4 linked regions of the Bombyx mori genome follow. The protein of the gene in region 4 binds, or shares a complex with, the protein of the main gene of each other region. Links are inferred from orthologs where the notes say so. Each region holds a gene or a part of one and is shown on either strand. Other genes may lie near its edges.

The links.
Region 1: condensin complex subunit 3 (region 4) and structural maintenance of chromosomes protein 4 share a complex: the UniProt entries of both Homo sapiens proteins name them as parts of the condensin complex. The link is inferred for Bombyx mori from reciprocal best matches to the Homo sapiens genes NCAPG and SMC4.
Region 2: condensin complex subunit 3 (region 4) and structural maintenance of chromosomes protein 2 share a complex: the UniProt entries of both Homo sapiens proteins name them as parts of the condensin complex. The link is inferred for Bombyx mori from reciprocal best matches to the Homo sapiens genes NCAPG and SMC2.
Region 3: the proteins of condensin complex subunit 3 (region 4) and condensin complex subunit 2 are in contact, whole or in part, in a crystal structure (PDB 6IGX), measured with the Homo sapiens proteins. The link is inferred for Bombyx mori from reciprocal best matches to the Homo sapiens genes NCAPG and NCAPH. Residues at the interface, in NP_071741.2 of Homo sapiens: Lys11, Phe14, Arg15, Gln18, His50, Tyr51, Lys53, Tyr54, Val55, Met56, Val57, Glu62, Ala64, Val65, Val68, Phe102, Ser106, Glu108, Ala109, Asn110, Ser111, Val114, Arg115, Ile149, Arg150, Lys152, Asp153, Lys154, Arg159, Glu188; in NP_056156.2 of Homo sapiens: Glu471, Ile472, Asp473, Phe474, Glu475, Asp476, Asp477, Ile478, Phe480, Val482, Tyr483, Phe484, Arg485, Lys486, Thr487, Ala489, Ala490, Thr491, Ile492, Leu493, Gln501, Asn502, Trp503, Ala505, Thr506, Thr507, Leu508, Phe512, Tyr514, Val516.

Annotation. Positions count from the first base shown.
Region 1 is NC_085134.1:4,010,479-4,016,275, reverse strand, and holds the start of structural maintenance of chromosomes protein 4, read right to left. Parts: upstream 3,645-5,797; 5' UTR 3,429-3,644; coding exon 3,150-3,428; intron 2,348-3,149; coding exon 2,156-2,347; intron 1,626-2,155; coding exon 1,449-1,625; intron 550-1,448; coding exon 445-549; intron 1-444. UniProt on the Homo sapiens protein: Central component of the condensin complex, a complex required for conversion of interphase chromatin into mitotic-like condense chromosomes.
Region 2 is NC_085131.1:14,293,889-14,299,883, forward strand, and holds the start of structural maintenance of chromosomes protein 2, read right to left. Parts: upstream 3,888-5,995; 5' UTR 3,746-3,887; coding exon 3,578-3,745; intron 3,187-3,577; coding exon 3,037-3,186; intron 2,634-3,036; coding exon 2,472-2,633; intron 901-2,471; coding exon 790-900; intron 503-789; coding exon 381-502; intron 65-380; coding exon 1-64. UniProt on the Homo sapiens protein: Central component of the condensin complex, a complex required for conversion of interphase chromatin into mitotic-like condense chromosomes.
Region 3 is NC_085117.1:9,010,836-9,015,290, forward strand, and holds the end of condensin complex subunit 2, read right to left. Parts: intron 3,940-4,455; coding exon 3,768-3,939; intron 3,161-3,767; coding exon 3,050-3,160; intron 2,685-3,049; coding exon 2,382-2,684; 3' UTR 1,737-2,381; downstream 1-1,736. UniProt on the Homo sapiens protein: Regulatory subunit of the condensin complex, a complex required for conversion of interphase chromatin into mitotic-like condense chromosomes.
Region 4 is NC_085122.1:6,203,544-6,207,939, forward strand, and holds part of condensin complex subunit 3, read right to left. Parts: coding exon 4,366-4,396; intron 3,637-4,365; coding exon 3,529-3,636; intron 2,564-3,528; coding exon 2,420-2,563; intron 2,055-2,419; coding exon 1,893-2,054; intron 1,316-1,892; coding exon 1,136-1,315; intron 747-1,135; coding exon 625-746; intron 1-624. UniProt on the Homo sapiens protein: Regulatory subunit of the condensin complex, a complex required for conversion of interphase chromatin into mitotic-like condense chromosomes.

The sequences.
Region 1 (5,797 bases), on a different chromosome or scaffold from region 4:
TGTTCCCTTCACGTATTTACAAGTGTACAAGACACTTCAATAGATTATTATATATAATAATTGGTACCAAAAGTATTAAAACCACTAATATGAAAGTATGTAGAACCAATATTCTGGGTCTAGAAACATTTTTGTTCACTCTTGTTTTATATCCAAGAGTGGTGTTCTGAGAAATTAATAGAGATGATCACATCATTTCTATCCTACCTTGTAATAACTCACCAAATTGATTCATTATTCAACCCTGGAGTGACCTTTTATGTTGTTTCCTGAGTACTACATTTTACATACTGACATGCTTCTTTAAACATGTTTATTGATTAATAGTAATAGTGCCTACGCTCTGGACCAACAAGAAACTGAATTTAGATTCAATAATATTGATGATAATTATTAATTTAACAAGAGATTTAGCTTTCGAATACTCTACTAATAAGATGATACCTTATATCTTGAAGTGCCTATGATATCTTCCAAGTACTCCAGCATTCCTGACTCATGCTCTGTTAGTGCTTTAGGTTTCATCATAGCTATCTGTTCGACTTCACCCTGAAAGTAAAAGTCTAGTTAGGAATGTATTTGAAAGCATCCTTATGAAGTTCTATTTAGTTATTAAAGATGTCTTAATGTGCAGCTTGTGGGCTGGATATACTCAAAGATCGTACAACGCTCTCCGTGTTCAATATAATAACGCGTTTAGGGTGCTGGTGGTGCTGCCCCGCTTTTGTAGCGCATCAGGGATGTTTGCAGACGCGCACATAGATTGTTTTTACGCTACCATGCGTAAGAGGTGTGCATCTCTGGTAAGCAGAGTGAGGGCCAGCTCCAACAGTATCCTGAGCATGATCGCAAGCAGGCTGGACTGTGTATACATGGGTCGCTGTGGTGCCATCTCCCATGGGATGTTACGACAGTAATTCATTATGATGTAAATATAACTACTAACATAGGTCTAAGTCTTATTAAAAATTTATATGAGTCATGGTTACTTGCAATAAAAACAATATTATTATATTATTATTAATGTTGAACCATTAAAATTTTTCTATAAAAATGCTGATAAAGATTTCAAGTTGTAAGAGGGCATATACCTGTATACCCTGATCAGTGGAGAAATTGAGGCAATGATTTTGTATCTCAAAAGTCAACATAATCTCAATAACAAAACAATCTAACAAGCAATTGAATGGGATCTGTTGATTAAGATTACCACTCAAACACAATATCAATAATTTAGATGGTTTTTTTAATAGTACATAATCTATGATTTGCATTTAGTGTCTTTTGACCACATATAAAGTTGGATTCAAATAAGATTGACATGATGCCCTTTTGTATTGAAATTATGGTACGGTTACTCTTTAACTAATATACAAGATCGATTCGTGGGACCATATACTAAACACAGGCAAATAACACTTATTATACTACTTAAAAAATGTACTTGCTTGCAATATCAAGAATCTATTGTGATCCAAATCAATGTTGTGGGAACGCAGCATCTTGGCAACTTCTTTGAATTGTACTCTGCGTCCGTTCAACATATAATAAGACGAGTTATCTTTGAAAGCTGTCCGTGAGACCACAATCTCACTGTTTGGTACAACTTTAAAGTCATCTCCTTCCTGTAAAAGAGTGTTTGATATTTTAGTTAGAAAGCCAGTTGCCAGTTCTTGTGATTTTTTTGTGAATAAGTATTTTGTTCCTAATGTTTGTATTATACAGCGCAAAAAAATCCACTTATGCATTCAGTAGATACACTTAAATACGGTACAACAATACATGTAGTAGGTGCCATTACTGGTTGTGAGTTTTTAAACATAGTTATATATATTCAATGATAGGATTACAGAATATCAGGCACAATAACTTGGCACACTGAGATTCACAGTTAGAAGTCAACATCCTTGAGTGGCTGATTCTTTTTCTATAATAGTGGTCAAAAGAATGAGAAGTATTTCATTGGATACAAAAAAGTAACTCTCTCATGTTTCAGAGCTCACCATTTTCATTTATATTATATAGTTCAGTGGCTAGTTTTTTTTAATGTATAAATTCATTCATTTTTAGTTATACCAGAACTTTAAGATTTCTATTATTATTTATATTTTGTAACTTCAGCTCACGCCAAGTTTGGTGTGTACATAATACATACCCCATCAATAATCTGACAGAAATGTACAGAGACATTTGCACTACTAATATTAGGAAATTTACTGGATGAATGTATCAATACTGAAATCTTCTTAGAACGTATTTTTGATGCTCTATATCCAAATACAAACAGCATTGAGTCAATCACATTGCTTTTTCCACTACCATTCGGACCAATGATTGATGTAAAACACTGTAATAAAATGTTAATACTTATTAGATCTGCAAGGTTTATATACACATAAGCTCAATGTAGGTTTCCATTGTATATATTTAAGGCAAAATAATGCAAATAGAAGTAAAGAGTATTGTATAAGCATGTAATTAATTGTTGAGAAAGATAAAGAGCTCGTCTTACAATTCTGTTCACACCAGTACTCAAATTTGGAAATCAAGGAAATGCTGTGTAAAAGTAATAAAAATAGGCAAGTCAGTAGATACCTAGATACTAATAAACTACTATTGCAAAGATCTATTCAACACATTGTGTAGGCAATGCTTACTAATGCATCCTTACTAGGTAGCATACAGAAATTTAGAATGCTTTTGAACAGTTGCTACATGTGAAAATATCATTTATATAATAAGCAGCAGAAGGTAATCCATAAGTGTAATTAAAACTATTTTTATAGTATGGCCATGGACCAATAAACCACAAAATTCAAGCATTCCAAGCATAAAATAATTTTATATTTGGAATCACTTAGATTGGAGAGCACTAGACGATTTATAAATGCATTTAAAGGTGAGAATAAAATGAAGCATGTTCGTAACAATCTATTATTTGATTCTTAACAATACATGCAAATACATTAACAAAACTTAATCTAATAGGATATTGAATCTAATATCTAATGAAAAATATCTAATATAATAAAATATATAATAAATATACCTATATGTAATGAAAAATTGTTTTTGAAATATAATAAAAAAAAATTAATCTAAAGTTAAATTACCTACTAAAAATTCGTATAGATATTGGGTATTTTTACCTTATGAAATGGACCCAAAGCTTGTACGCCAGCGTAACTCTTGAAATTTTCATTAACGATATGAGTAATGATGAGCCGAGGGCCCGTTGTATCAAAAGTTAATGCTGGTTTTGGAGCTGGAGGTATATAGATATCCCCAATGCGTATTCCACCTTCCTCATCATCAGAAATGTGATCGAAGTCTTCAGTTTCCTCAACATTCGCTTTCTGAATTGCAGAACTAGTAGACGGACCCTCGTCGACATCCATTGGTTCATCTATCATTTTCGTTTTCCCCATCTTATTTATTTTTGTGAAGACAAAAAAGATATGTATCTTCACTAAAAGTTTTATTGCAATCTAAATTTTATTTAGATTCACCAGACCACGGTATAACTTTCCATCATTTTGTGCTTTTTTAAATGTTTTCTTGCAAGCTATAATTTTAAATATTGTACAAGTTACAACGACAATCATAGATTCTATTATCATAGATTATACACTTAGGCTTCAATCTCAAATATTAAGTATCATCATCTATGTATCAAATACTCGTGTGTACTAGTTATTAATCTATGCAAAAAACCTATATAAACAATCGAACTAAATGTAGACAACTATGCCACTTCGATAAAGCGGCACGACACGAGAACCCTCTGATCGTGGCCGCCGGTAACTACATTCCCGATCCTGCGGACAGAATGGAAAGCAGTCGACGTCGCCCAAAACACGTCATCTCGGATCCTCCTGATCCACTAACGGTGCTTTTAGGTACTTCAAGCACCGGTCACCGTTCTCGTCGAACCCGTAGCTTGCGACGAAGGGCTCGACGAGTAAATTAACTCTCAGACACAGCCCACTGAGTTTCTCGCCGGATCTTCTCAGTGGGTCGCGTTTCCGATCCGGTGGTAGATTCTGCGAAGCACGGCTCTTGCTAGGGTTCGTGTTAGCAACATCGTCAGGTTTGAGCCCCGTGAGCTCACCTACTAAAGTTAGGGTTACGCTGACATAGCCGCTAGGGCTATCAGCTTAGGTAGGAAAAAAAAAAAAAAAAAGTAGACAATGCAGCCCACTGAGTTTCTCGCCGGATCTTCTCAGTGGGTTGCGTTTCCGATCCGGTGGTAGATTCTGCGAAGCATGGCTCTTGCTAGGGTTCGTGTAAGCAACGTCGTCAGGTTTGTGCCCCATGAGCTCACCTTCTAGTTAAGGTTACGCTGGAATAGCCTCTCAAGGCTATCAGCTTAGGTAGAAAAAAAAAAGTAGACAATAAAATAGGCTCACTGAAATTGGCCTCCTTTTTTTGATTTTCGGTTTTATTTTTATTTTTAATGATTTGTTCGTCGTTTGTTCGTTAATGTTTGAATGTAAAAATTGTTAGTTCGTCTTTTATTTATTTATAATTGAGTAAACAAATGATTACCCTTAAGTTGGCTCCCCTTACTAGAAGATATCTTTATTTTTATCGCTCAGATCAATTAATTTTAATCAATTATCGTTAGTTCAACGAATATTGGTGATTGTTCGATCTTAAAAACAATTGAATTCCTAATTATTAATTATTTTATATCTAATAAGCAAACCATCACCTCACGCCTACATTGCGCATGCGCCGGTTTTGTCAGTCAGTTGGCAATGGGCGTATTTTCTAGCGTTTTGTTAACAAGTGCGTTTATACTGTCTAATTATTCCTTATGCAGACCAAAAAAATATTCAAAACTTCAACAAAAAATATCGGGGATTTTTTTTTTTTTATTGCTTAGATGTGTGGACGAGCTCACAGCCCACCTGGTGTTAAATGGTTACTGGAGCCCATAGACATCTACAATGTAAATGCGCCACACACCTTGAAAAATACGGCCAATTATTCCTTTTTTTTTTCCTACTTAAGCTGATAGCCCTAGGGGCTATTTCAGCGTAACCCTAACTTTAGTAGGTGAGCTCACGGGGCTCAAACCTGATGACGTTGCTAACACGAACCCTAGCAAGGGCCGTGCTTCGCAGAATCTACCACCGGATCGGAAACGCGACCCACTGAGAAGATCCGGCGAGAAACTCAGTGGGCTCTGTCTGAGAGTTAATTTACTCGTCGAGCCCTTCGTCGCAAGCGACGGGTTCGACGAGAACGGTGACCGGTGCTTGAAGTACGTAAAAGCACCGTTAGTGGATCGGGAGGATCCGAGATGACGTGTTTTGGGCGACGTCGACTGCTTTCCATTCTGTCCGCAGGATCGGGAATGTAATTATTCCTAAATTCATTACGTAGTTCAAAAAATGAAAATTTAATGCACACAAAATCTGTTTTTATTGAAATGATAATTATTTAGAAGTTCAAGAAATATATTGCAGGAACATTTAGTAGAAATTCATTTCATATGGAAGAATAAACTTAGTATACATATACCCTATAAACAGGATTTTATTTTAAAAAATATTTTATTTATAAAAAATATTTATTTACGTCTATATTATCGTAATTATTACTATCGAGAAGTATCTTGATTGATATATATTACAAGGCTTAATAATTGGGAATGTAATTATTTGAAATTTTATGATCGAACAATCACCAATAGTCGTCAAACAAACGATAATTGATCAAAATTAATTAATCTCAACGTTAAAAATAAAAATATCTAGTAAGGGGGTCCTACTTAAAGGTGATCATTTGT
Region 2 (5,995 bases), on a different chromosome or scaffold from region 4:
GTCGTCCTGCACTTGCGTGACTTTTCCCTCTGCTGCTTTGGTTTGCTCTTCAGCAGAAACATACCTGTAACGGAGATATCGTTTTAACTTTCGTGACTATGATGTGCTAAAATATTGCCTTGTTCTATCATGTAAATAAGTGGTTTAGAAGGGGAAGGTAATAAACATACTATGGACACTTGTGCATGTATACTGTAGAGAGAGATGTTCAATAAAATTGTTTTCTTTTCTTAATGTATTTAAAACAGAAAGAAAGAAGTACTCAACATACTAAGAAGTACTCAACATACTGACATTTTTGTGTTACACTGAACAGGGAGGCACACGGGCGGCCGCGCAGTCCTGTGGCGACTAGGAACTTAGGCAATGACCATACTCACTTCCAAGCGACACACAGCCTGGTGATATTCTCCAATTCTCTGACAACCTTCTGATATTCTTGGAACTGAGATCTTTCATCTTGCAGCTTCTGAAGTTTAGGTGCTATGTCTTCTCTTATTATCTATTTTGAACAGAAACAATTTTGCCACAACAGTTCTTTTAATGTATTTTCTGAGAAGTTTTAGTTCAGTTCAAAAAAATTTACATCTGATTAATTGTGATCCCTTCTACAAAATCATTATTTTATTCAAAAAAGTATTGGCAGTTCTGAAAGTCCACCTAAGTAGTCCTAGAAATCTACTAATTTGATGAAGTGATAAAATAGTTTTATTTGTGTCATATTATGCTTTAAAACGAATCGACATTTGTACAGTGTGCAGTGACAGTAAAATTGTACAATTGACTTACATCATTAAGTTCCCGGAGCTTTGCATCTTTCTTCTCAATAGTTTTCTGTGCTGCTTGTTTTTTAGCTTCATACATTCTTGTACCTGCCGCTTCCTCTACCATTGATAATATCTAACAAAAAAGTGGTATTGTAGCTGTATATATTTTAGCCTTCAGTGCAATGTGGTTATTGGATGCCAATGCTAAACATGAATGTCTCTAGTGCCAATTTACCATGTTCATGTTCTTATGGCCTTTTTATTGTTTATTGTATTTTATAATTATTAGAAGAAATTTGTAATCATTAGATCAGCTAAATTAGTTACATTTCATTTATTCACAAGGATGTCAAACACAATTACAGCACAGGTTTTTTGCCTTTTTTTATTACTTAGATAGGTCATTGAGCTCACAGCCCATCTGACTTTAAGTGGATACGGGAGCCCCGCCACCCACCGTGGGAAAAGGCATCCAAGCCTCAGTGTGCAATTACTGCCCCACCCTTGAAAAACGAAACACATTACTGCTTCAAGGCAAAAATAGGCAGAGTGGTGATACATACCTATACGAGCTCATGGGATGTTGTACTGCCAGCTCAACTTCAGTTCTCAGGGAGAGTGGTAGCATCAACATTGTCTTGTGGATATAAAACTCTTGTGCTCACAGCTTTTTTTTTATCTTAGGGCCAACAATGGCTGGGCAGCAGCCACAGAGCAAGGTTAAATGGAAATCTTCCATATCAGAAGACAAGATCTCAAGTTTACTGATATTGTGGCTAGTAAGTGTTTGAGGGAAAACAATATAAGAAACATCTTCCACCAAGCAGATAATTTTGTTCCATACACCAAAAGTCCAAATATTGTTTGTAACTGGCTTAACACATGCAAAGCTTCTTTTGAAAATGCCATTAGTGTGATTTCAAAATTTGTCAAATATTTTCTGTCCTACGATGGCACGAATTGGGAAGCATAAGGATATTACACCACATTTATTACTAAGGCTGTATGTCTCTACCTATATTTTAATCATCACAAATAGCTCAAACATACAATACAACTAATGCCACACAGTACAGAGAAAGAAAAAAATCACAAAGCAATTAAGACCTTACTAGAAATTACAGTGCACACGCTTTTAGAAAGATTAAATTTCATTCAGAGGAGTGAGAAAAATCATACGACTTAAAGTGAAGTCATATCCAAGACAAGATTTGAATGCAATCTAATGCATCATAATAGTGAAATCAGTCACTATACTTATCAAAGTACTAATCAAAGTATTTTGTAATTAGACTTGATGATTTTGATTCATAATCTATATATGTTTTTGATTATCTATATATATAAAAATGAATTGCTGGTTGTTAGTCTCACTAAAACTCGAGAACGGCTGGACCGATTTGGCTAATTTTGGTTTTGAATTATTTGTGGAAGTCCAGAGAAGCTTTAAAAGGTAGATAAATATGAAAATTCTCGGAATTCAATAAGAATAACAATTTTGTTTTTCCTTTGATGTATCCCCCGTCGGACGGATTCCTTGTGTTTGTTTTAAGTTTATTTTATACAAAAGTTTAGGTCTTGGCACTGCGAAGTCTGCCTGGTCAGCTAGTAAGAAATAATTATTTTATCCAGAACTTCAGTTCGTAACACTATTTACTAAGGTCATACAAGTAATTTAACTGCTGAAGCTGATGTATGGCTTACCTCAGGAGGTTTCATATTTAGCACCTTAGTAATCCTTCCCTGCATGATGAGGAAGTGTGGGTTATTGACATTAAGCTGAACCGAACAGAATAAGTCACTGACCCTCTTGTTTTGGACATTGATACCATTTATAAGGTATTTATTCTTACCACCCATCACCACCTGAAATTTATTTTTCAAATTGTTTCAATAATTGTTAAATAGCATGTTCTTTATATTAGTTTGATTAAGCAAATTTGGATGAGGAAATATAACTTTTGAATGCTATACGTTATTTCTTGTTTTGTTCAGCAAAGCTTATGAAATTTAGCTTGGTTTGCTAATAGTAAAAGTCAAGCTACTTGATCGAATGATTTGTAAATGATGTATTAAATCATGTCATCTCAAACATTTGAATATTGATTTATTAATCATGTATATATTCTTGGAACTATTGTATTCTTGGAACTTTTTAATAAAGTAATTTAATGGAAGCTTCATGAACCTGGAAACTTAGCAAATGGTTATTCAATTTCTAGATGTTTTGTTGATTACTAATTACTATTCCAATATAACTATGTCTTACCTGTCTAGTGACAGTAATCTCATCATGATTCTCATAGCCAATCGGACATTGTCTCTTATCTCTGTTGTCGAAGGTAATGCTAACTGTTGCTTTGGTGATACCTGCCTGCCCATGCTTGTAAATAAGCTCCTGCAAGCTGCTTGCTCGTACCTATTTTTTTATAATAAATTAATTAATAATTTAGGCACAAATTTTGTTAAACAAGCATTTTGACCAAGAAGCAACTATGTTTTATTGTTGGAATATTCATATTATTTATAATTGTACCCAGAAAGAAGCAGAAAACATCATTGTCGAGTTTACTTCGCATCAATCGATATTATTGTTGTACTAGAACTTGAAAAGTGTATGTTTTTATTTTCAAGTCATCATGTATTCTGATGCCCATAGGATTTATGTCGCATATTTGATAGGTAATTGAATATTATCATGAATAAACGCTGCTACTATATCGCCATAACCCTTAACAGTGAATGGTATTTGGCGGGAAATAAATCAGCAACAGTTGTTATTTTGTTAGCAATAATAAACTACAACATACATTCGATAAATTTGTGATTCCAAGTACGAAACATATAGAATCTAAGATATTTGATTTTCCAGTCCCATTTAGACCAGTGATCGCATTAAATTCTGGATCAAATCCAGTAATTTCCACTCGGTTTCCGTAAGACTTGAAGCCATCTAACACTATTGACTTAATAAACATGTTCAGATCATAAAAACAACAGTTATAGAACAAGAAAATTCATTAAAAATTTAAACTCATACGAATTCATCAAGCGTTAGAGAAGCCGTTGATTTTTTTATGAAATCAAAATTGATTTGTGTTTTTAAAATATTTTTGACATTCATTGATTAATGACATTGACACATTATATTTTTCTCGACAACATTTTTTTTAAAGATTTTAATTCGATTTAGATTAACAATATGGTAAAGAGGTAAAAAATTATAAGTGTACCGATTCTTTTTCTTTTCTTTATTGCATACTAGCTGACCCGGAAGACTTCGTAGTGCCTCTATCAATAAATAAAAGACTTAAACCTTTGAAGAAAATAAATTTAAAACAAACAAAAGGAATCCGTCCGGCGCGCGGCGGGGGGGACATCAAAGGAAAAACAAAATTGTTATTTTTATTTAATTCCGAGCATTTTCATATTTATCTATCCTTTTAAACCTTCATTGGACTTCCACAAATAATTCAAGACCAAAATTAGCCAAATCGGTGCAGCCGTTCTCGAGTTTTAGCGAGACTAACGAACAGCAATTCATTTTTATATATATAGAAGAAGAAGATAGATAACATCTCAGATTCAAATGTAATAGATTCTGATTCGAACTAAAATAAATTGTAGTAAGTACAGAAAATGAAGTATTTTAACCATGTAGTGAAAGTTCATAAGCGCAAAAAAAATCATAGGCCGTGGCTTCGGCCGTGGACGTGGACTTGACAACTTCCAAAAAGTCTACAAACTCAGACATTAAATCTCACCCTTTTATAAGTTGTAGCCCAAAGAATAAAACGCCCGATGAACTAGTATCATTATAGCGTAATCGTATAGCATTAGAACTAATGTCCAACAAATCGAAAGCAGGGCGGATGGATCTACTAGGACTTGTCGATGTAAATGACAGTGGCTGATTTTTGCACGAGCGTGAGCTAGAATGTAGTCAATAGTGTCTTTAATAAAGCTGTTATCATATAGCATCGATATCAAGAAATAGTGCTTCTATATCTCAAACAGAATAAGATACCCAGCGAGGATGAACTCTTCTCCGATGGCAGGCGGTGCGATGGTAAAAGTGAGATGATGGAATCATCTCAAAGAATTCCTCATAGCACTCCCCATGGAACATACGGTACAAAATACAGAGAAAAGCGAAGTCCTTCCGCAGACCCAGAGGTTCCAAATGATCCGTGAGATCCGGGATTATCGACAATCCGAGCGGCCCTTTTCTATATAGAGTGAAATCGAAGTAGCTCGTATTTGGTAACCCTAGCCCAGAGATGAAAAGGCTTTGTCCAGGCGTGAAGTACTGCTTTGCTCTGTTGAGGACTTCCAGCATCTTGGACGCCAACTTGGCTTTGCCTTCCAAATGACTCCAAAATTGGACAGACCCCAAGTATCCAGGTATTCTCGGAAGGTTGCAGGGATACTCCTTGGATTTGGCGCCATAACAAAGGGGTCCTTCTTCGTAGTTAACGCGCAAACTTATGTCTTCAATGGATTGAATTGAGCGAAGTTCAATTCGCCCCATTCGGAGATTAGCTTCGGAGAGTTCTCCACTTCAGACACAAGTTTTGATCGTCTCTCTTGCACCACGCTCCGTGAGAGACTCTGATGGCCGATATATCGCGCATCCCCCTTACTGTCATCCGCATAGCAATGCATATCATCAATAGACATCATGTCATTGACATTGATATACAGGATGAAAATCATATACTTCAGGAGTTGTGCATTTTTTATTCGCTCCATCACCTTGGAAAGTAAGGAACTTATCGCGGTAGGCCTATAGCTCGATGGCTCCGACCAGTCGCCCTTCTTGGGGATAGGGTGGACGTGAAGGGGTCTTCCATGAAGACGGATACAATAAGAGAGGCGATACAAATGCGTTAGCGCAGGTGTCAACTCAGGGGCGCACGTTTTCAGAACCACTGCGAGGATGCAGTCTGGCCCACTCGACTTATAGACGTCCAGGAGTCGGAGCTCCCGCCTGACTGCATACTGTGTGAAGCAGATCTCCGGCAGGGAGCTATCACACCGGAGGATGTTCGGTGGTATGGCACCCCCGTCGTCCACAGTCGAGTTCGACCACGTGCTCCGACTTAATAAGTTCATGACTGTACACGACCCGGTCTGTATGGCTGTTTCCGAGTCGTGTAATAATATTTTCTGCTGTCTGTTTGTGCGCTGGTAGAAGACGGCTGTTTCTTTCGATGGGTTTCGGCTTC
Region 3 (4,455 bases), on a different chromosome or scaffold from region 4:
CGCGTGTTTACTTTGTTACACGGGGTGGCTTGCTGTGACTTTGTTACCATGCGTGGTCCCGTAGACGCGAAACCGTATTATCTTATGTAATTATGTTTATAGCATTTTGCCACTGCGAAGCCGTGGCACAGTCAAATTGTAATGTTAGGTGATCTGTCGGTAACTGTGCTTGTGATTTTCCATGAAAGCTCTTACTGTGAATCAGTGTACAGTTGAATAAATGTGTTAAAATCTATTGATTTCATCTTTTCCTTGACCTTCTCTTCCAAATTATGATGCAGCCCTAATATTATTTTAATGCTAAGTGTGTTAAGTGTTAGGTGGTTTCTGGAGCCCATAGACATCTACAACGTAAACGCGCCACCCACCTCGAGATATAAGTTCTAAGGTCTCAGTATAGTTACAACGGCTACCTCACCCTTCGAACCGAAACCCATTACTGCTTCACGGCAGAAATAGGCAGGGCGGTGGTACCTACCCGTGCGAACTCACAAGAAGTCCTACCACCAGTCGTGAGCTCGTCCATCAACCTAAACAATAAAAAAACAAATTGTTGTAATTACTGGTCGTGGTGCGTCTTGCGAGGCAGTTATGTACCACCAGCCATTCTATTCCTGATGTGAAGCAGTAATGGATTCCAGTTTGTAGAGTGGGACAGCCGTTTTAGTATACAATTGAGATTTAGACCTCATGTCTCACGTAGTGATGTCTATGGGCTCCGGTAATCGTGTAACACCCGGTGGGCCGTGAGTTCATTCACCCGTCCATGCATGCAATAAAAAAATCAAATTACATGTATGGCTTGTAACAGTGCCACATCCGATTAATTTTATTTTCGTTGTTTCGATGCGCGAATGTCTTGCACAGTCGCCATTTAAATCTAAAAAGTAAATAATACTACTAGGCTAGACGAAGGAGTATCCCTGCAACCTTTTACTTGTATTGGGATACTTGGGGTCGACATTTTGAGCGATGTCCAATTTCGAAGTTATTTGGACGGCAAAGCCAAGCTGGCGTACAAAATGCTAGGCGTCCTGAACAGAGCGAAACGGTACTTCGCGCCTAGAGAAAGGCTTTTGCTTTATAAAGCAAAAGTCTGGCCTCGCGTGAAGTACTGCTCCCACCTCTGGGCCGGATCTTCCAAATACCAGCTACTTCTATTTGACTCTATAGAGAAGAGGGCTGTTCGGATTGTCGATAATCCCGATCTCACGGATCGTTTGAAACCTCTGATTCTGCAGAGGGACTTCGGTTCTCGCTGTATTTTGTACCATATGTTTCATGGAGTGGTCTGAGGAATTGGTTGAAATGGTCCCATCAATTCGTTTTTACCATCGCACCGCCCGCTACCGGAGTAGAGTTCATCCATACTACCTGGAGCCACTGCGTTCATACACAGTGCGTTTCCAGAGATTTTGCCACGTACCATCCGACTTTGGAATGAGCTCCCCTCCACGATGTTTCCCGAGCGCTATGACATTCTTCAAACGAGGCTTGTGGAGCGTACTTAACAGTAAGCAGCGCCTTGGCTCTACCCTTGGCGTTGCTGAAGTCCATGGGCGACGGTAACCACTCACCATCAGGTGGGCCATGTGGCTGTCTGGCTACACGGGCAATAAAAAAAATTAAGGATGTTTCTTATCCATCTACCTTTTTTGCTGTTGATGTATAGATTACCTCACTGCTCTTTTGATAGTAAATAATAAAAGCCAGGGAATATAAAATAAAAAACGAGCTTGGTACTTGCATACATATCTAAATATTATTCAATACTTAAATATAAAAATAAAGTCTATTCTAAAAACATCTATACAATGTTTTCACAAACTTTTTCATATATTTTGACACATGTCAAAACTTTATTTACAAGATTCAATATTTAATTACGGTACATACATCCATTGCATTTCTAATTGTGAAACGTTGATAATAGCACATTATTTAATCATCTGTAGGATAGTAAGGAAATGCGACCCTAGAAACTAATGTAATTAACTGGAATAGTGTTGCTGCAAGAAACTGACATTTATTACAATAACATTTTTTTTTACTTTCAATACACAACTTTGACATAAGGTAAGCTCTCAGATGACGCATCAAATTTATTGAATTATGTATGGATGTTGTCAAAGACAATTCGTTTTGTAGTTCAGGTAATAATGGCTTTTAGGTATTTCTTTTCTTTCAATAAATTCACTAAAAAATTAATGTAAATAACAATCAAAATTTGTGACTAACTAATATTTTATGGTCATATTTGAGATACTAAACACTAGAGTATTCAAAACACAAGTTTCGCTACAAGCCATGCTTTCAGTGGAGGTAGTGAGGAATATGCTTAAATTTATATGTATTTTAGAACCTCACCTCAAGTTGTTTTATTATTTTATCAAACCTATTATGCCAAAGTCCTTAAGGTCTTCTTGTTTCTCTAAAATCAATCCTTTTTCGTTTGCTAAATGCAAAATTGAGAGTAAAGCTAATGGTACACTTAATGATTCTCTCATATTCGGCGTCAGTTTGCTCGGAAGTCTGGAATAAATCGAAAAGAATGACGTTTCCGTGACCTCGTCTTTGGAACCTTCTGGAGTTTTTTCAGTGAGCATCTTCCAGGTACAGTTTTTCAATTGTTTCATGTCGACCTTTTTCGCCCGCATCGCGTATGGTATGAATATTTTGGCCACCTGTTGGAATACGGATGCGGAACATTATATGTTTCGTTGTAATTCTGTGTTAGTGTATTGTTGTTAGTGCAGTTGGAACAGCGCCCCTAGCGGCAAACGTTCCAACTCCATACAAATTTGAGATAACTTTCACGCTATCGAGAACATTAAAAAACTCGCACGAAGCACACAAGAGAAGAATAGAATAATTATATATATTTATCCTTGGGTATGAGTAAATCTAAAACGACATCAAGACGAAACTATTTTTTTTTGTTACAAATATTCTTAACACATACAAGACTTCTAACTCATATCCAACTGGGAATGAAACCTGTACACTGTCGTAGATCAATCGGGATCAATAATGTGACGATCGAACTTACTTTTGTTGGTGGTTCGAGCATGTCCCCGATGTCTTCGAGTTCTACGGCTTTGACTTGTTCGTGCAGGTCGCCGGCGGCCGTGGCGTCCTCGTTGCCCCACTCGTCAGCATCCTACCAAAAACAACAACTTAAGTTATGTTTGTGATATTGCTTTTTTTTTTATTGCTCTATAGATGTGTGGACGAGCTCCCAGCCCACCTGGTGTTAAGTGGTTACTGGAGCCCATAGACATCTACAGCGTAAATGCGCCACACACCTTGAGATATAAGTTCTAAGATCTCAGTATAGTTACAACGGCTGCCCCACCCTTCAAACCGAAACGCATTATTGCTCCACGGCAGAAATAGGCGGGGCGGTGGTACCTACCCGTGCGGACTCACAAGAGGTCCTACCACCAGTAAAAATTAGCTTTTCAAATATTACTTTTTTAACGACAGAATACGGTAGTATGTTTGATTATTTTTAAAACTGATTAGATTAGGTAAACAATATTAACAAGTACAACTAACAATCTTAACGAATACAAATTTTATACATACAATAAAATATCAATAATAGATGTCATTAGATTTATCGGTCAAATTGTTTAATATGAGTATCGCACGACCTCAACCAGTTGATTATTATTGTAATTAGTTGAGAAAAACAGCATCAACTGCGAGTTTCTAACATCACTGACTGGGAGAATATAGGATTGTAGAATTGTGAATGTACTCACCGGCGGTATGTTGGGACAATATGAGGCATCATTTTCATTATTGTAATCGTAGTCGCGCACCTCCTCGACCGTGACGGGCTCCTCGGGCTTGCTGTGTTCGTTGTCACGTTTCCGCGACATCGTCACTTTACGCAGTAAAAATAATTTGCAGAAGTGCGATTCGTCCAGACCTCTGCGCAAAGAATGGATTAAATAGAACTCGAAACTATCTTAGGTGCTGCTGACCTGTGTGCTTAGTGCGAGTTTTTTAATGTCCTCGATAGCGTAAAAGTTAACTCAAAGTTGTATGCAGCGCCCTTAGCGCCAAACGTAGGGAAACGTTCCAACTCCATACAAATTTTTGTAATTGGTCCTACGAAATTACTAACTTCTGATTTCGACAGAAGAGTAAACATGTTGTGGGGACCACATCTAAGGGGTAAAGACAAGAAGGAACATATAATAAAAAAAATGTGTGCGTGTACTAGTGTACACACGTAAGAAGTGAAACTTCTTTATGGCCTTATTTTTCGAAAAATGATCTACATGCAACTTTCTAGAAATTGGTTAAATAAAGTTAAATTAGATAAAGTTTAAACAAAAGGATTTTATTATCATAGACATGAATACAAAAAAGTTAAATTAGATAAAGTTTAAACAAGAGGATTTTATTATCATAGACATGAATACAAAAAAGATGGCGCGTAAC
Region 4 (4,396 bases):
TGTTCGACTATTAACAATCTCTTTATTCGCGCAGTCATCTATACGAAGTTCAGACCGGTCAAGTAAGATGCTAGTTCTAATATTATCTTTCGAGACATTGTTCGATTTTTGAATACAAACTACGACATCTTAAAACAAATGTTGTACACTCGAAATTTAATATTCATAGTTTCGTTAAAGCAAGCCATACACTTGCGAGCGATCATGTTAGCATTCTCAGACAGCGCCCTCTGGTGCCCACCTTCTAGTAACATGTCGCCAGCTTTATTAATTGTTCCATTTAAAAAAAAAATTGAAAAAATTTAATATTCAACTAAAAAATTGATAATAAATTTTAATAAATTTGTTTTAAAAATAGTGTAAGAAAAAAAAAGTCTATTTTCTATAAACTTTCTATAAAAGCGTATTTTGTTAGTTTTTTCAAAGTATTATTTATTTTTCATTTTTTAGTTGAATTTGAATTTTTTTTAATTTTTTTTAAATATTGAAATGTCATCGGTCCTTAATAAGTATACCAAATTTCGAGTTAATCCGACGTTTTGAAGGGGGTCAAAATCACGTTCAAAGATTCCGTTACATACATACGTCTGAAGCTAATAAAAGCGTATTAAAAAGTCTTCTGACCATTTCCTTGTCGTAAACAATAGTGTGGAGTGTGGTATCGTCGAACGAGTCTTGGAGAGAGTCACGCGAGCTGCTCGCCGTACTACTGCGCCCCGACGAACGTGTTCCTGTTCTGACTTCTCCTGGAAAATATTTAAAGTTTTTTTTAAATTATGAAGTGACATATTAATTAAAAAAAAATATTGTTCATTAGTTAGTTCATTAGAGTTTATACAGATAATAAATGCTTAAATTTTTTGATAGTAATATAGATTAAGTTTATATTACATTATATTTGTTAATAATAAAAAACATAATATTATTATAACTTAAAAAATAATAATATTACAATTCCTTCACTAATTAATCGAAAGGAACTTCATTCCCGTGTCCTTTGACACCTCTCAATTTTTGTTGTTGCCTTGTTTGCAGACGGTCATACGGTGAGTACACTACCTGATGGTGAGTGGTTACTGTCGCTCATGGTCATCGATAATGCAGGGGGACAGTCGATTTATTTATTGAATTGTACCTTTTTTATTTTTTCGTTGAGTCCCATTCGATACGGTCGACTCGCGGCTGGAGGAGGAGTGCGCGGCGCGGGCGGAGCGCCGCACAGTCACGTTCGACACGTCCAGCTCAGCGGGCACGCTCGGCGGCGGAGAGGCCATCTTTGTTTTAGACTCTTTGTTTTTTTGAGCTTTGGATGAAACTGAAAATTTTTCGGTTAATGTGATTGTTTAATTTAAACTACTAAATACTAATAAATAAAAAGTTGACGGCAATTTACAGGCTATTTATCTGGCTTCAAACTAGGATTCCCGATACCATTGTTTTTCTTTTTTCTCCTTGAGAGGCTATTTCACCTTCGCCCTAACGTGTGTAGGTGAGCTCACGGGGCTCAAACCGGGAGTGTTGCTAACACTGGCTCTAGCAACAACAGTGCTTCGCAGAATCTACCACCGGATAGGAAAAGCGACCCACTGAGAAGATCCGGCGAGGAACTCTGCGGGCTGTGTCTATGGGCTAAATTAGTCTTCGAGCCCTTCGTCGCAAGCGACGGGTTCGCCTAGGACGGTGACCGGTGCTTGAGGTACCTATAAGCACCGTTAATGGATCGGGAGGATGCGTAATAATGCGTAATAAATCAATCAGGATACTTATAAAATCAATCCTCGGTCAGGCGCGCTAACTATTTCACTAGCGAGACCGCCAAACAGTAGTGTTTGCAACATAATCAGATGCGTGAATGGATAAAACACAAGCATATTTCGGTAACGGTATCTCACCTCTATCGACGTCCACCAGGGATCGCTGCGATCGACTTCGTTTGACACCCTTTTCAGTTTCTTCAGTTTTCTGTTTCGACTTTTTAGTGGTTTCTGTGACTTTCGCTTTATTGGCCGTTTCAATGGTAGACGATTTCTTCGCCGGCATCTTCTTTTTTGGTACTGTAAAACGTTTATTTGCATTTAATTTGATTTATACTTTACGAAAATGTTACAAAAGGCAAATACATATATGTATAAATGTATAATCATTGTAAACATTTTTTTTATGTCGGTCTGAAAACATTCTTAAATATACAGATAATTTTACTGTTTTATAAGGCGCTTGAGAGATTTATTGACCAATAGGCAATTGGAATAAAAGAAGGCAACACCAATATTAGACATTTTGTATTTACTATAAAATGGGCCATATGCTTCATAATGGCAGTTCAAAATAATTAATCAGCATATAATTTTCAGAAGTACTATTACTTTATACTAGATATTTAATTAACGAAATAAGAATATTAATTATAAATAAACACCTTTTGATATTTTAGCTTTCTTCACCGGAGATACTCCGCTGCTAGAATCCGACAATATATCTTTGGTATCTCGTATTGGAACAGATTCTGATTCGGTAGACTGTCTACTAGACTTTGTATTACTCTCTTCGGTTTGTGATTTTTCTGTAAACAATTTAGGTATAGAGTATGGTATGCTATACATCGACGAATATATTTAAATAATAACTATAATTTAGTCGAGTTAAGGCGGGACTACATAATACGCGACAAGATCCATTCATAAATTAAAGTGGTTATTCGTAAATCGTCAAACATAGAGTTTGCTTTTTAATTCAAAGGGAACTATAGAAAATCACTATCGTGAATATATACTATTAAAAAATACGATATAAATCTAATAAATGTAAATTTTTTTATTACAAAGCATCGTACGTTATACGGGATTCTATAAATCACTTTGTAAAAAAAAAAAAAAAAAATTTACACTGGATTTAATTAAAACTTATTCAATAATAATGAAATATAAAAGATTTAGTATTGTATGGATACAGTGATAGGCGCGAACGCGACGAAGGATGGAGACGAACTGATTGAGTGGAGCGGGAATGGCAATGAGGTATGGTGTAGATAAAGATATGATAAAGCTGATGCAGCAGGAATACGATAGGGTCTGCATATCTACGGTACTGAAGCCCAGATAGGACTTTTTGGCGGGAACGCGAGGAGTGAAATTGTGTGATTTGTTTTATTTTGTCTATTTAGTGTTTCTTCAGGTTTAAATGTGTAATGACGGTGGTTTACTGTTTAATATCTGTGAAAGTGCACAAAAGTGGGAAAATTAAACAAAGCCGCTGGACGTAACTTCTCGGGATCCTCCAAAAAGTCCACTGAAAAAATATCAGTAAATTGCCACCATTTTACCGAGATTATATTTCATCCCATATCATCTCATCTCATTTCATTTGATTTCATCCCAGTTGATTAATATCTCAAATTAATCATCTTCATTTCATTTCATCATTTTTCATAAAAATAATAATATAAATTAAAATAAGATATGACTTAAAGGTCTTAGTTACCAGGTCATAAAATTTCTTAAAAAAAAAGAAGCCGGTAACAGTACGCACCTTCTGGTATCTTACAGAAGATTTCAGTTGGAGACGTCTCATCGATTTCGTCTTCTTCCTCGACGGTTTCGTTGACGACCACGTGCGTACTGCGCGCTATCGGTTGTGCTGAAAGGTATTTTGTTTAAGGTAATTATTTATTTACAATTATTCGCAATTAATGATCGACACTGAAGCGCGATGTTGCTATGTTTACGTTAAGGCGTAAAGACCGCCCAGTACTTAACTATTAATATTTTTGCTGATCCTTCCGATAGTGTTCGACATTAGTTTTTTTTTAAATTTCTTTATCTATTAAGAACTTTTTGTTTTTTATGTTTTCGCATTTGAAACATAATACGCAGATAATTATTTAAAATAAAAGTGCCACATTAAATTAACAATTAAATAATAAATCGTAGTACCGATGTGGATGGATACTTGTGAATGTGCTAATAATAAATAGCCTTATCTACCCTATCGCTGTATTCAAATTGAACCACTATTTTCAGACAATATTAGACGAATAATACAAAGAAAAAAACTGAATTGAACAAAGTAAAAAAGAATATCATCATCTACAGTGTAATTAATGTAGAAATCAATTTAATATGGTCTATCAAAGATAACTCAAAAACGACTGCTCAGATCTAGATAAAATTTAAATAGGACCACATGAGAAGCGGCAGCTTTCACATAGAAAAAGAATAATCCAAAACGATTCACTCAAAAGCTGTGGGGCAACACAAATATAAATACGGCCGAATTGAGAAAATCCTTGTTTTTTTAGCTTTATAATAATATGAACCGTAAACTGTTATGCAATAGAGACTAATTTAAAAAAAAGTAAATTCTTACGTAACGACGTGGTGGCGCGACCCATCACCAT